Tamandua tetradactyla: one gene and its partner. The protein of the gene in region 1 interacts with the protein of each later gene in a pairwise test. Links are inferred from orthologs where the notes say so. Each region holds a gene or a part of one and is shown on either strand. Other genes may lie near its edges.

Region 1 (7,354 bases):
TATCACATCCCAGTGAACAAAACAGACAATAGTCCCTGCCTTAACAGAGCTTTCAGTCTAGCATCATGAGGGTGTTAAGCAGTTACCAAATAAGTTCCTATCTGCTGTGTGACAGAAAGGGGTGAGTGCCATGTAGGAAACTCAGCCAGGAAGGGGCATGGGAGTGCCTGGCAGCTTTTAAATAGGGTGGTCAAGAAAGGCCTCACTAGGAGGTGAGGCTGAAATAAAGATCTGAGGAGCTGAGGAAAGTCATCCTGGGGAAAGGGAACACCTCGTATAAAAGCCCCGAAGCACGATAATACAAAGGCCAAGTGGCTGGAGTAGTGTTTGAGGGGAATAGGAGAGTGATAGATGGACTCTGAGAAATAATGGAGAGGGACCAAATCAGGTAGGATCTGGAAGGTCGTGGAAAGGACTTTGGCTTTTACTCATAGTTAGAAGCCTTTGGAGAAGCCTCTTCAACTGAGGTTCCTCATGTGAACCCTAGAGCCCAGAAATGATTTGAGTGACTGTTTTCTCAGTTTTTATAAGGATAGGAGTCAACTAATTATGTTGTAGGTGCCAGGCTAGAAGATAATTCATTATATCCATTGGATGTTTAAAGGGATCAGAGCTTAAGTCTCTCTGGAACCTGGTAGCCAAAGCCTCCAAGAGTGTGCCGAGTGGGACAGTGACGCGTGCTGACCTGCATTTTAACCAGAAATCTTGGTAGCTCTGCAGAGAGCAGTCCTTCATGTGGAGACCTGAAGGCCACTTGGGAAGCCTCTGCAGGATGGATGGTGGCTGGGGTCTGGGTGGGAGAAGAGGTCAGATTCCAGGTCGTTTTGAAGGCTGAGCACACAGAATTTATTGATAGATTGGATGAGAGTGGTGAGGAAAAAGGAGCAAGGATGCCTGGAAGGTTTTTGGTCTGAGCAGCTGGAAGGATGGAGTTGCCACTCGTTCATCCAGGAAATATTTTCGAGCCAGCTTTTGCGTACCCTGTTTTGTGTGCTGAGTATGGAACTGTGAGCCAGATAGACAAAGTTCCCTTCCTTTGTGAAGTGATAGCCTATGAATAAATGTTCTGCCTTAATCCTGACATGATGAAATGGTAGAGAGGGTTAGATAGATAGAGGGCATTCTCTGGAAGGACAAAACCATCCCCTCTCCAAAGATGGGACTCCACAGAGTTCCAGTGGCCACTTGACAAGCTGTCCTTGTTCACCTGTCTTCCCATGACCCAGCATCTGTCTGTTTCCCTTCAGTTTGGGGACTTCACGAAGAGGGTGGGTGTTCTCGGCCCTGGGCCCTGCTTCAGGGGAGACTGGGGAGGAGGAGGGCTGTGGGGGGCTTGTAGCTACCTCCCAGCCCCAACCTGTCTTCCCTGGCAGCGGCTGATCGACAAGACCAAGGTGACCTATCTGAAGTGGCTGCCTGAGTCGGAAAGCCTGTTCCTGGCCTCACATGCCAGCGGCCACCTGTACCTATACAACGTCAGCCACCCGTGCGTCTCGGCCCCACCCCAGTACAGCCTGCTAAAGCAGGGAGAGGGCTTCGCAGTCTACGCGGCCAAGAGCAAGGCACCCCGCAACCCCCTGGCCAAGTGGGCGGTTGGGGAGGGGCCGCTGAACGAGTTTGCCTTCTCCCCCGACGGCCGGCACCTGGCCTGCGTCAGCCAGGATGGCTGCCTGCGCGTCTTCCACTTCGACTCCATGCTGCTGCGCGGGCTCATGAAGAGCTACTTTGGGGGCCTGCTCTGTGTGTGCTGGAGCCCTGACGGGCGCTATGTGGTGACCGGTGGCGAGGACGACCTGGTCACCGTGTGGTCCTTCACCGAGGGCCGTGTGGTGGCCCGTGGCCATGGCCACAAGTCCTGGGTCAACGCGGTGGCCTTCGACCCCTACACCACGCGGGCTGAGGAGGCAGCGGCCTCTGCTGGTGATGGGGAGCGAAGCGGTGAGGAGGAGGAGGAGCCTGAGGCCGGGGGCGCCCCAGTGTCCCCACTGCCTAAGGCCGGCTCCATCACCTATCGCTTTGGCTCGGCCGGCCAGGACACGCAGTTCTGCCTGTGGGACCTCACTGAAGACGTGCTTTACCCGCACCCGCCCCTGGCCCGTACCCACACCCTCCCTGGCACCCCCAGCACCACGCCCCCAGCTGCCAGCAGCTCACGGGGTGGAGAGCCAGGCCCTGGCCCCCTGCCCCGCTCGCTGTCCCGCTCCAACAGCCTCCCACACCCGGCAGGTGGTGGCAAGGGGGGCGGCCCGGGTGCCGTGACAGAGCCAGGTACCCCTTTCAGCATTGGCCGCTTCGCCACCCTCACACTGCAGGAGCGGCGGGACCGGGGGGCAGAGAAAGAGCACAAGCGCTACCACAGCCTGGGCAACATCAGCCGGGGTGGCGGCGGGAGCAGCGGCGACAAGCCCAGTGGCCCTGCCCCCCGCAGCCGGCTGGACCCGGCCAAGGTCCTGGGCACGGCGCTGTGCCCGCGCATCCACGAGGTGCCGCTGCTGGAGCCCCTGGTGTGCAAGAAGATCGCCCAGGAGCGCCTCACTGTCCTCCTTTTCCTTGAGGACTGCATCATCACTGCCTGCCAGGAGGGCCTCATCTGCACCTGGGCCCGGCCCGGCAAGGCGGTGAGTGGCTCCCCCGGGACCTCGCAGGACCCTTGGCCCAGGCCTTTGTCACCAGCACAGCTTCAGCCCAGGGGGATGAAAGCTCAGAGTCGGAGGACAAAGCCTCTGCAGTGTTAGAGGACGGGTTTCTAGAACCCTGGGACATGAGTTCCGGGAGGTGAGGTCAAGTATAGAAGTGGGGTGGGGGTGGGGGTGGGGGTGGGGGAAGGCAGCATGGCTGGGTCTGGCTGCTTGTGACTAGAAGCAGTCTGTATTTCTAGGGCAAATTGGTTTTTAAATGGTGAAACTTTTGAAAATACTGCGGGCCAACCTAAACACATCTGTGGGCAGTTCTGAGTCTGTGGCCCGGCTACCATGTGGCATCCCAGCCAGTTGCTGGAGGCCCAGGCCATGGCTCCCAGATAACAGTCCTGCTCATTTGGTCTCAGGGCAGTCACTGCCCCTCTCTGACCTCCACCCGTCATCTTATAGGAGAGAGCCTGTGAGATGGCTGGCAGGGGTGCACCCACCTCCTAGGGTGGCTGTGGGGTTTGGGAAGATCATGGCAGGTGAAGCACAGGGCTTGACACCTTGGAAATTCGGGAGTGCAGCACCTCAGCATTTGGGCTCAGCTTCCAGGCTGGCAAGTCTAGGGCTGCAGCTTTGCTCCTTGGAAGAATGGTTTTAGAATCTTAAGAGTCCTGAGTCACAGTTTCAGAGTATCAGAGGCAAGGGTGTTGGAATACCGGGGCCTTTGGGAGCCCTGAAAGAACCCCCTCCTCTATCTCCCTAGTTCACAGATGAGGAGGCTGAGGCCCAGACAGGGGAAGGAGGTTGGCCCAGGTCACCCAGCAAGGCAGTGGTAGAGGTAGGACTGCCCCTGAGATTTTTCTCCCCCAGAATTCAGCACCGTCCAAGTCAGAAAGAGACCTCAGTTGCCCCCCTCACCTCCCCATCCCATCCTAACCCCATCTGTTCTGCACGGGATCAGCTGAGGACTTTATTAGTATGAAGTACCAACTGCTAGCCAGGAAGCCTAGAGCAGCACAGAGGCCGGGGGCGGTGGGGCGCGGATCTGGTGGCGCCCTGGGTGGTCCCTAACCCTCCCCTCTCCCCTCATCTTCCCAGGGCATCTCCTCCCAACCAGGCAACTCCCCGAGTGGCACGGTGGTGTGAGACTATGGACGGGCCTATGCCCCCACTGCCTGGCCGTCACCCTCCCCACTGAGCTCACCGAGCAACGTATTAACAAGACTAACCATGACGATGGACCACACCGCCCCCTTTTCCCTGCACAAACTTGGGGGTCAGAGGGTCCCTCTGCTGGCCTAGACACTGGGGGTGTGTAGTGACCTGCGTGGCCTCAGCCTTGTCCCTGCCCACTGCCAAGTACAATGACCCCCTCTGAAACGTCAGTGTTACCCTCATCCCTGTCCCCAGCATGTGACTGGTCGCTCCTGGGTGAGGATGTCCCCTGACCCATGGGAGTCCAGCTCTGCAGTGCGCCTCAGCCATGGACAGGGCAGGGGGTCCGCCCCTCCCCTGGCCCCGCCCCTCCTTCGCTATTGTCTGTGCTTCCCCAAGAGTGTTAAATTATGGAAGCCCCTCGGGGCCCTCCCCACCGTCAGGACCTCTTATTTATACTAAAGTCCCCTGTTTTCACAGCCGCGGGCCCAGCGTGTATGTTCCCTTCATGGGGGTGTGGAGGGGGCGGGTGTGCTGCGCCTCCTGGGATGCATGCACCTTAAGGCCCTGCCTCCGTCCTTAGCGTTGCCGGGAAAACCTGAGGCGGGGGTGGGGCTTGCTGAGGCCACCGCTGGTGACTCCGTGCTGGTGGTCCTGAGCAGGGGCACACCTTCCAGAACCCCTCTCCAGAGCCCTTGGCGGGAGTTTTTAATGAGTTCAAGTGCCCAAACTGTCCGAATGAAACATTCCAGATTTTTTAAAGGGCCTGTCCAGTTGGGGGTTCCTCAGGCATGGCTTGGACTAAAGATCTGAGCTGCCCTGAGGACCAGTCTTCCCCCCTGTGCCCCCAGCCCACCCTGGCCGGAGCCAGCTAGAGTCCGTGAGTTCCTCTCCAGAACAGTCTGCCCCTGGGAAGAAGGAGTAGGACCCCCTCTTGACTGGTTCGCTAGCTGCAGGGAGCTGTGTCTTCCCGCTCCGCCCTCCACCCCCCGAAATGTTTCTGTTTCTAATCCCAGCCCGGGCAGGAATGCAGCTCTCCGGCCAGGGTCCAAGGATCTATTTTGGGGTCTCCGTTGCTTGGGAAGGGCTTTGCTGCCCCACCCACCTCCCCCAGGTTTTGGCCAGTGGGTTACTCCTGGTTCTGGCTCCTGAGGGCCTCCCCGCCCATTTCTCACCTTACCACCCCTTCCTGACCGCCTGCAGGCGGTGTGAAGCCAAGTCCCGGAGGGCTAAATTTAACTGTCCCAAAGTTGGAATCTATGGCTGAGTCACCCGAGAAGCTGCCCTGGCCTCCAGCCCCCCTTCTTTGGCCTCAGCCCCCCTCCCTCCACCCCTGCCTGGGGTTTGTGTTTGTGTATGGGGGGGTTGCCTGGATCACTCTGGACCTCAATTGGTCCCCTCTAGAGAATGGGCGGGCTCATCTTTGGCATCTGTCACACCTGTAGTTTTCCTCTCCCCTTTTTATTGGGGGAAGGGTGTAAGAATGGTGATTCCCCCCTCCCCCATTAAACTGAAGGGTTCAGAGGGGCCTTGGAAGGAGGGAGTTGTGGGGGGCTGGCTTGTGAGGGGTTAAGGCTGGGAGGCGGGAGGGGGGCTGGACCGAGGGGGTGGAGAGAAGAGGAGGAGGTCTCGGCAGCAGAGAGAAGTGGCCAGAGAGGCCTAGGGGACAGCCAGGGACAGGCAGACATGCGGCAGGGGCCCTGGGGCCTGGACAGGGGCTGACGTCCCGGTGACGGGAGGAGCCCGAGCCCCCAGCCCGGGGAGGGGGTCATGGTGCTGCCTGCCCGACATGTCAGCCGAGGTGCGGCTGCGGCGGCTCCAGCAGCTGGTGCTGGACCCCGGCTTCCTGGGGCTGGAGCCCCTGCTCGACCTTCTTCTGGGCGTCCACCAGGAGCTGGGCACCTCCGACCTGGCCCAGGACAAGTACGTGGCCGACTTCTTGCAGTGGGGTGAGTGGCTGTCTGCCTGGGCCTCCCAGGGTCAGAGACAGGAAATGGGTTGGGTGCAGGGGTCTGGCTGTTGGGGGACAGGACGGACAAAGGCAAATTGTCCAATGCATGGCCCTAGAGCCTGGACATGGGTCTTGGGGTGCTGTGCCCTTCCCCATACCCCTGGCAGGGCAGGGTCAGCAGAGGCCGGGGCAGCCATGACACGGAACCATGGCTTGGCAGCATCAGGAGCCATGGAGGGCTGGGCTGGGCACAGCCTCCCATGGGGCCTTTACCCCTACCCAAGGCTAAGCTGGGAGCCCCATCTCCAAAATGGGTCCTATGGCCCTCCATCGTGGTTTCCCAGAGCACGGACAGGCGGAAGGGACAGTGTGGGGCAGCTGCCAGGGGCGCGGCCATCTGGCAGGTGTTCGGCGTCAGCCTCTCCAGCTGCCCCAACAGGTGCCCAGGCCCTGGGAGGGTGCGGTGACTCAGGCTGGCCCTGGGGAAGAACCAGCTCTGCAGACAGGCGCCACCCAGCAACCCCTCTGTCCCCAGATTGAGGAGGGCCACTTCTGTCGGTTCCATGTTTTCCAACATTCTGATCTCTGCTAGCCTGCCTGAGCCATCCCGTTTTCCACTAATTCTTGACCCCTTTAATCCTCCTAGTTGAGGACCCCCAACCTTCCAGGTCTCCCCACAAAGCCCATTCTTGCAAGGTCTTTCCAGGCAGGCCGGGTCCGGAGAGGAGATGCTTCAATTTGGCTGCCCCCCCGGCACCCCCACCCCCCACCCCCACCCCAAGCCCAAGCCCAGGGCACAAGGTCACTCTAATCTCTGCCTGTGTAACATCCTGCCACTGTGTCCCCCCATCTGTTTGCCCTGCAGTGGCTCGATTTGGGTCTGTGTAGGTCATAGTCTTTCTGTCATTGTCTTTCTGTTTCCTGTCACTCTCCCCTCACCCGTATCTGTCCCCTTCCATCCCAAGCCCCGCTTCTCTCCCTCCTCCCATTTCACAGGGGGTAGCCTGGGGTTGGGCCATTCAGCCTCTGGAAGAACCCCCCCTACCTCCCCCGAGCCCTTAGTTACTCTCCTAGCCTCCCTTTTGCAGAGGACTAAGCTTGCCTGGCAGGGTAAACTGAGGCCTAGGGTGGGGGCGGGGGTCTGGCTCTCCTGTAAGGAGCGCTCCTTTTGTGGCCTGAGCCCGAATCCTGCGGCCCCTCCTCCGCCCAGCGAAGGGGGAGAGGGCCTGGGTTCCCGCTGCCTTAAAAGGGCTCAATGTCTTGGCTCTCTCCTCCCTCCCCCGTCCCTGGGCCCTGGCTGCTGCTTCCCTGCCGGCCCATTCTCCCTGAACCCCGCGGGGGCCATCTCTCCGCTCCAGAGCGCACCCTATATCCCCTGTCTCCCATCCCTCCCTGCATCGGGCATCCCTTAGCCTGCTGGCTTCTGGGAGCCCAGGCCTCCCCTTCCCATTGCCTCTGAGTCTCGGGGCCTCCATCCCTGGTTTATCGCCTTCCCTGCCACCCTGTTTAACATTCCAAGCTGCTTGACTTTGGTTTCCCCATCTGTAAATACGGGGTAATACAAGGCCCTTCCTGGATTTGTGGAGAGGACTGGCCGGCCCTCCTACCAGTGCCTGGAGCC
Region 2 (7,915 bases), on another chromosome or scaffold:
TAAGTGAATATATCATTGTTTATAGGCAATGTACATGGAAGTGTTATGTGTGCAAGGAGGATGATGTGTGCAACTTGTTCTTAAGTGTTCAGAAGATGATAGACAGATAGATAAGCAAAATATTAAAACTGATGAACCTGGTTATCTAGAGGGGGCAGGGTTATGTCAAATTCATCAGCTACCACTGCTTGCTTCTAGACCTAAAGTCTGATATGTCCATTTCTCTGAAGTTTACTTTTATTTACTTAAATATTTTGCCCATATCATCATCATTTTTTCCTACTTAAAAAAAATGCTACCTAGAAAAGAAAACAAACAAAAAAAATTCTACCATTACAATGTGCTTGGAGCAGAGTGTTGTATCAAACTTGATACAAACCATTGCTCTAACTTGTTGAAATGTCTGTCCCCCATTTGTTCTTTAACCCACCACTTTCCCGGAGCTATATTTATGTATGAGTAGGTTTGGCTAAATCTAATGAACACTTCAGCTCACATACTATTTGACTTTTATATTCTGCATTTGATAATCCACTTAAGCACTCACCTTTTCCTTCTTGAAACTTCACGCCTTTATTTTCTATGACATTGTGCTAAACAAGTTTTTCTCCTGTCTTGCTGGGCACTTTCCAGTCTCTTATGTGCTCATTTTTCTCTACCAATCCCTTAATGTCTGTCTTTGTATTGTTGGCCTTATATAAGCTAGCTCTAGATTATATCCACTGCCCTAGCTTCTACTCCAGAGCACTGGATCTACACATTCAAACACCCATTGAAATGGTGGTGGTTTTTTTTTTTTTGGGGGGGGGGGGGGGCGGGTCTTAAGTAAATAATATAAACACTTATTGATGAATTATTAATTGTATTTTTTCTTGGTTAATTGGATATATCTCAGTCTTAGTTCATTAGGTGTTTGCTGGATAATTTAGAAGCCAGACCTAAGGCTTGTTAAGCAATAATCACCCAAGTCTTAGTTATTGCCCTTGGGAATCAACTAAAGGAATCAGTTGAAAAACATCAAATAAGGTTGGAGGTGCCATGTCTTTTCATCATCTCAAAGATGCAGGAATGTCTTTTATATACTGTTATCCAGAGTTCCTTCAGATTTGCTCAGGTTGTTGGAACTGAGGGTAAAATCAAAGAGGGAGGAGAGAGAGGAACCGACATTCCTTGAACTCTGCCAAGGGTTTTACCTATTTTTTCTCCTTAATTTATTCCTTACAACAACTTTGTACAAATAAGTCCCCATACTATAAATGGAAAACCTGAAGACCAGAAAGGTTAAATGACTTGCCTAAAAGTAACCATTAGTAAGTGGTACACCCAGTCATTCTGACTCTAAAATCCCTGGAGTCCCTTAAATCATAATGCAATGATTAAATTCACTTGCTGGTAATTGTACATTTATTTCTAAAATACCGAAAATTCAAACATGAGGCAGTTATCTGTTGCTGAATGATATTTTATTAGCTTAATAAATTGGGCCTGCCCTTAGCATTAATAAGCTTCATCTCTAGTCACAGGATTTTCATTCATTGGTGGGGAACCTTTCTTATTTAAAAAAAATTCAATTAGAGAAAGGGCATCTACTTCTTGGGGGCTGCAGTGACAGCGGGCTTCTCTTCACGGGTAATGGGAATGGTGCGCTCAGAGCCAGAGACTTGTTTCCTTGGTCCGTTCACAGTAAGGACTCCATCAGATGAAAGGGATGAAGTAATGGAGACAGGGTCCACATCAGCTGGAATCCGGTATTTCCTGTGGAACTCCCGGGAGATAAAACCATGCTCATCCTAATCCAAGGGAACAAGGAAGAGGCAGAGAAATAAGAACAGGAAAAACACCACTTGCCTGGAAACCAGACATCCTCATTCCCCTTAAGTTGAAGCAAATTTCATAGCAATGAGATGAGAGAAAGCTAAATAGTTGTTCATTTCAGATTTAGGGCTAAGATGAAGTTGCCTAGGTAGTCACTCCTACCAACAGCAGTCTGAGAAGTCTGAAACAGCCCCAAATTTCAGAGTTTGCCAAACTCTGAAGCAAGTAGTTTAGGGGCTAGGGGTTTTCCAAAGGTTTAAATCAATGTTTGCTAGACGTACAAGATTTGGAATCTCACACTGGCATTGAGGATCTGAGTCTCCAAGAAAGCCAAAAAATATCCTGACTCTTCAGGAGTATCTCAGAATGTTCCAGACCAATAGAGCTGCTGTTAAAAAAGTGACTCCATTCAAGGAGACCATGCCCCAAACTTAAATTGTATGATCAAAACTGAACTAGCCTGAAAACTTCTATCTGTTCTGTTTGAAGCGCAAATATCTGAGTTATCATTAATAGTGAGACACATAGTCATTTAAAAAAACTCTCCCAGAAAATGAGATGCTCTTCATTTTTCAGAATCCTGCAAAGAATACTTGGTCCTAACCCTTATACCCGCTAAATCTCAAGCATTTATCCAAACAGGCTCTCGATAAACTATTTCCACATGGGTTCTGAAATTTAAGCAAACCAAGTATTTCAGCATAAAGATGGGCCTAAAGAGAAATGGATTACTGAACATCTATACAAGGCATCAATCTCATATGCCTTCAGGTGCGTGAGATTAATGTAATTATGTAAAACAACCAAGTCTCTGACAAGCACTATGCCTAAATCAGTGGTTTTCAGCATTGATTGTACATTAGAATTATCGAGGGAGCTTTAACAAATATTAAAGGGTCTCACCTGTAAATATTCTGATTTAATTGGTATGGAATGCACCCAGGCATTAGGATTTTTGAAAATTCCCCTGGTGATTCTAATATGGCCAAGGTCGAGAGCCACTGGCTTAAATGAAAGTAAACAATCCATCTCATCCATTCAAGGCAGTCAAATCAAAACAAACAAGTTAGTCTTCTAGCTACTGACTTGTGACCCTGGTCTAGACCCTTACGGCTTCGGATTGGAATGTTGCCAGCCTCAGAGGTTGATGGCATTGCCTGGCATATAGTAGGCACTGAATGAATGAGCAGAAGAGAAAACAAGCTACATACCTGGCGCTCTTCATGTTTGCCATGCACCTCAATCACATCTCCCAGAACCTTGACTTTGAGTTCCTCTGGGGAGAAGTGCTTCACATCCAGGTTGACAGAGAACCTGTCCTTCTCCAGGCGCATCTAGAAATAGCAAAGTGGGGAGGGGATAATGGAAAAGATGGTAGAAAGACTGGTGCAGTCTCATCATTCTAAAGAATTGCTTTCTGTCCGGCTATTTTAACCGCCTCTTTTCTGCTAAAAATCCCTTTTTTAATAAATAAACATGGCTTTCTGGCTTAAGGAGTCACCACAGTGGTACTCAAAGCATACGACTTGGTCACTTGGTCATCAGGCTCAAACTTTATTTACCAGGACAAGGGAGAAGACAGAGCCACCCAGGGGAACACAATCAGTCACAAGAATGGCCTGCATGGTTTCAGCTGTCTCTCTGACCCCAATGCCTGGCCTTGTCATTTGTTTGTGAGACAAAGGCCCCTTTTTCTTGTTCATAAATCTGCCAAGTTTCCCACCCACTCAATCTGGAATGTTCTGCTGGTCTTGCTTGTCCTTCCAAAGCCCTTGCCCACTCAGCTCCTGTTCACTCACACTTGATTATTTTTAAACCAAGGTATTATCTGTGGCAGCTTTTGTCAACCCTATCTGTTCATCCTTCTCTGACCCTCCTAGGACAAGTGGGGGGCCTCTTCCTCATAAGGCTTGGACCTGGGCCAATGCCCTGCCTCAGCCCTTGAGAAGTCAGGAAAACCACAGAAGAGAGAATAAAATGGAAGAAAATAATAGCTGTTGTCTCCAGCTCCACCCAGTGGGCATGAAAAGCTCAAGACGAGGTAGGACTCTCTCCTAGTCAGGACAATGAGGTATTAGAAGAGGTCAGCAAAGGAGTCTGAAGGCAGCTCTCTCCTTTCACATCATTATGAACCAAGCCAGAGAAGAGACATCCTGCTTAGAAGTTAGGGGACAAAGGATGATTTTTATCATGCATAAAGATTGTGAAAGATTGTACACTAATAAATAGGATGCAGAAGAACATCATATAGAAACAGGTAACTGGGGGAGGGAGATGTTAGTAGCCTCATCTTTCTTTACTATTGGATACTTAGGATATAAATATAATCCAGTTTAAGCACAGAGGAGGAAGAGGAAAGTGGAGAAGTTTCCAGAATATTCTAGGAAGAACTCTCCTGTTCTGGCAGGGAGAGGGGACTCACCTCTGAGAGCCCAGTATCAATCCAGCTGGGTGCCCGCAGAAATGAGGGTGGCCGAAGGTAGAAGGGGCTCAGAGAAGTAGAAGTTGGAAAGAGATCTGATTCCAACAGGTGCTCTCCGAAGAACTGGTCGAAGAGGCGGCTGGGGGAGTGGAAAGGAAAAAAGGGGCGTCGGATCCAGGGATGGTGGATGGCGATGTCCATGGTGACTAGGTTGAGTGTGAAGACTCAGCTGGCTGGTCCGTTCCTTCAGCCTCAGCTACGGCCAGCCCCTTTATATACACAGTCTTGTGAAGCTTCTGGAATGGTGATGTCAGGGGTTTTATTATCCTAGCTCGCCACCCGTTCATGGAGACTTGTGATGGGGATTTGGCAGTGTGACACATAACCAATACTCACTGAGCTAAGAAAAGAGAAACACAAACAGGTCTGAGCTGGCCAGTGACTTGTCCTGGTCTTGTTTCACTGGCTTTCCTGTCCACACCTAACAGCAGCACCCCCACTCCCCACCCCTCATTCTGTTCTCTGGAGCTGGGACAGTGTCAAGAATGTCAGGCAGGCAGTGGTGTGCCCCTCCTCTCTCCTTTCCTCTCCAGTCTCACATGCCAGAGGCATTGGGCCAGCAACTATCTTGGGCCTGGGCAGGCACTGGAATCTTCCTAGGCTGAGCCCCAGGGACATTAACTCTTTGTGGGTCCCTGGAGAAGAGCAGTGATCACCAACATGCCCGTGCCAGGCATCTGCATGGTGCCCTGGGTTGCCCTGGTTTCGGGAGAAGACCCTAATACTAATCTGGGGAGGAAGACACCCACACCCAGCCCCGCACTGACACTACGGAAAAGGTAGAAAAGTTTCTTGCATCTTTCAACCTACAAGCCTCGTAAAACATTAAATCTAGGGGTGCTGTCTGAAGTACGGCGCACCGTGCCTGCGACTGGGGAGGAGAATGGGTAGTGTGGAAAACGTGCAGACTGTTGGCGAGGGTCTCAGCTACGCAGCAACTTGTCCTCCCCTCCCCCAGCCCACTCCTGAGCCAGGACCCCCAGCTGTCCTCTCAGGCACCCTGCGACAGCTAAAGGGTGTGCGGGGGGGAGGGGACTGGGGGTCCGGGAGGCACTAGTCACACACTCGTTGCTCCCACTCAGGGCCCCCCTTCCCGTCCCTCCCTCAGAGGCTCGGCACTATTTTGGGTGTTGTAGACCCCGCCCCCACCTCCGACCGAGCCTTGGCTCTTCAGACAGCTGGAGGGGCTGCACCTCCGACCAGCGCCGCCAACGCATCTGCAGCCATGTCGGGTCGCTCGGTGCCACATGCCCACCCGGCCACCGCCGAGTACGAATTTGCCAACCCGAGCCGCCTGAGTGAGCAGCGCTTCGGGGAAGGTATGGCACAGACGCCGCCCCCTTGCCTCCCACCCCCACCTACTGAAATTCTGGGCAGACCTCCCAACTTTACTGGCCTCCACCCCACTAAGGGCTTAACTGAACTCTTGGGGCGAGCCATCTTCCATCCCAGACTGCTCTACCCGCTCTCCCCCCACCCCCAGTAGGGCTCTTTCTCCTTCCTCCTGACCTCAGAAAAGACATGATACCTGCAACGCTGATATCTTCTCTTTGTCCCCCTTCTATCCACCGTGTCCTAGTTTGGTTTGCCCTCCCCACCCCTATCTCATTTATTTTGTCAGTCCCCTCTCTCTGGCTACTTCCTCTTCCTCCACCTACTCACTGTGTCCCTCTCCCTTCCTCTCCCTATTTAACTCCTCTTCTGGTCCTCCAGTCCCTCCTCATCTCCTAGTCTCCTCTCATTCACCCCCCATCCCCATCCCCACCTCTCCTCCCTCATTCTGACTCTTCTCTTCTCTCTCTGTGCCCCTCAGGCCTCCTGCCAGAAGAGATCCTGACGCCCACCCTCTACCATGGCTATTATGTCCGGCCACGGGCCAGCCGAGCTGGGGAGGGCAGCAGGGCAGGGGCCTCTGAGCTTAGGCTCAGTGAGGGCAAGTTCCAGGCATTTCTGGATGTGAGCCACTTTACCCCAGATGAGGTGACCGTGAGGACTGTGGACAACCTTCTGGAGGTGTCTGCCCGGCACCCCCAGCGCCTGGACCGCCACGGCTTCGTGTCACGAGAGTTCTGCCGCACCTATGTCCTGCCTGCTGATGTCGACCCCTGGCGGGTCCGGGCTGCTCTATCCCACGATGGCATCCTTAACCTGGAGGCACCTCGGGGTGGCAGACATTTGGACACGGAGGTCAATGAGGTCTACATCTCCCTGCTCCCTGCGCCTCCTGATCCAGAGGACGAGGAGGAGGCGGCCAGAGTGGAGTCCTGATTGCTGCAGACTCAGCACCTAGCAGATCCCTTTCTACCTCCTGTGGTGATAGGAACAGCTGCCCACAACCCCAGAGGTAGCAGCATCCTTGGGGGAAGGGATTGGTGCACTGTCCACAATGTATGGTGTGGTCCCTTGGGACATGTCATAGCCTTTGGCTTAGATCTGGGTGGAGCTGAATAAACCCAAATCTCAGGGCCTTGTCTGTGCTGCTCCCTATTGTGTAGCCTGAAGGATGGGATGGGCAGGGAGGGAGGAAGTTATAGCTAACTAGACATAAAGCTCTTCAGATAGATGTACCCAATACAACAGCACCCTGAGCTCACACTTGGATGCTGAGATCATAGCCGCAAGCTGGCACTGGCTCTAGATCAAATTCCTAGCCACAGTTTTCTCACAATGCAACAAAAGAGATTGTGATCCTGGGACCGAAAAAGGATATGCCATCCAAACAGCCCAGAGGGCACTGTCTGAGCTGGTGATTAGAGACACAAAAACTAGGGGTCTCCAGACTGTCTGGCCCTTTTTGGGCAGGGGTTAGGAAAACAGTGACTGGCTAGAGAGAGTTGCGGAAAGCCCTGGGATGAATACTTTGTTTTTCCATACTAAGATCTGTCTACTAAAAATGGCTTCTGATTCCGAGGGACTGCCAGTACATACACAGGGGCACAGACACACAGCCTCTACCATTTCACCAAATCCTAAGGTCTTCCCACTTTTTGCACAGAGGAGGCCCATAAGAGAAAGCCTTGGTCCCCAAACTTGGAACATTTCAAAAGAGAGGCAACACTGCATCATCCCATTCAATCCAAGTCAAAATGTAGGGAATCTAGAGCCATTACTGTGATAGTGGTGACTCCCAGGGAATATCTCCTTGGAGTCCTACAACTAAGGGTATTGGGTATTCAGGAAATCCTAAGGGTCTAACCCCTCAGTAATTCTCTGTAATGAAGAGAGCATACATGGATATGATTTGGGGAGTGTCTAGAAGAACTTTCCTTTACCAAACTCTGGTGGATACCTGAAATTCTTCCATTAAAGTGGTGGTTCTTAACCTCTGGGTTACAGACCCTTTTGAAAACCTGACAAAAATTGTAAATACATACCCTTTTCCCAGAAAAATACAGATACTCAAAATTTGACCTACAATTTGAATAGGTTCACAGAACTCTTGAGATCCATTCATGCGTTCATGAATATACTTACAGATATACTTCTCACTTGAGAAATTCAATGATTGATTAAAGGTTTGCCTCAGAGAAATAACTATTTATTGATTCTTTTTTTTAATTCATTCATTCAACAAATATTTACATTACCCCAAGTAATAAATACACTATGTGAGTTATA

What was found.
Region 2: the proteins of DMPK (region 1) and HSPB2 interact in a two-hybrid assay, tested with the Homo sapiens proteins (2 studies listed by BioGRID). The link is inferred for Tamandua tetradactyla from reciprocal best matches to the Homo sapiens genes DMPK and HSPB2.

What each region holds. Positions count from the first base shown.
Region 1 is NC_135342.1:15,270,757-15,278,110, forward strand, and holds the start of DMPK (myotonin-protein kinase), read left to right. Parts: upstream 1-4,298; 5' UTR 4,299-5,552; coding exon 5,553-5,731; intron 5,732-7,354. Other genes in the region: DMWD (dystrophia myotonica WD repeat-containing protein), read left to right, coding at 1,374-2,618, 3,391-3,465, 3,726-3,773. UniProt on the Homo sapiens protein: Non-receptor serine/threonine protein kinase which is necessary for the maintenance of skeletal muscle structure and function.
Region 2 is NC_135334.1:29,336,737-29,344,651, reverse strand, and holds the start of HSPB2 (heat shock protein beta-2), read left to right. Parts: upstream 1-4,819; 5' UTR 4,820-5,076; intron 5,077-5,405; exon of another isoform or gene 5,406-5,471; 5' UTR 5,472-5,522; coding exon 5,523-5,616; intron 5,617-5,825; exon of another isoform or gene 5,826-5,904; intron 5,905-6,110; coding exon 6,111-6,565; 3' UTR 6,566-7,915. Other genes in the region: CRYAB (alpha-crystallin B chain), read right to left, coding at 1,587-1,790, 3,027-3,149, 4,238-4,438. UniProt on the Homo sapiens protein: May regulate the kinase DMPK.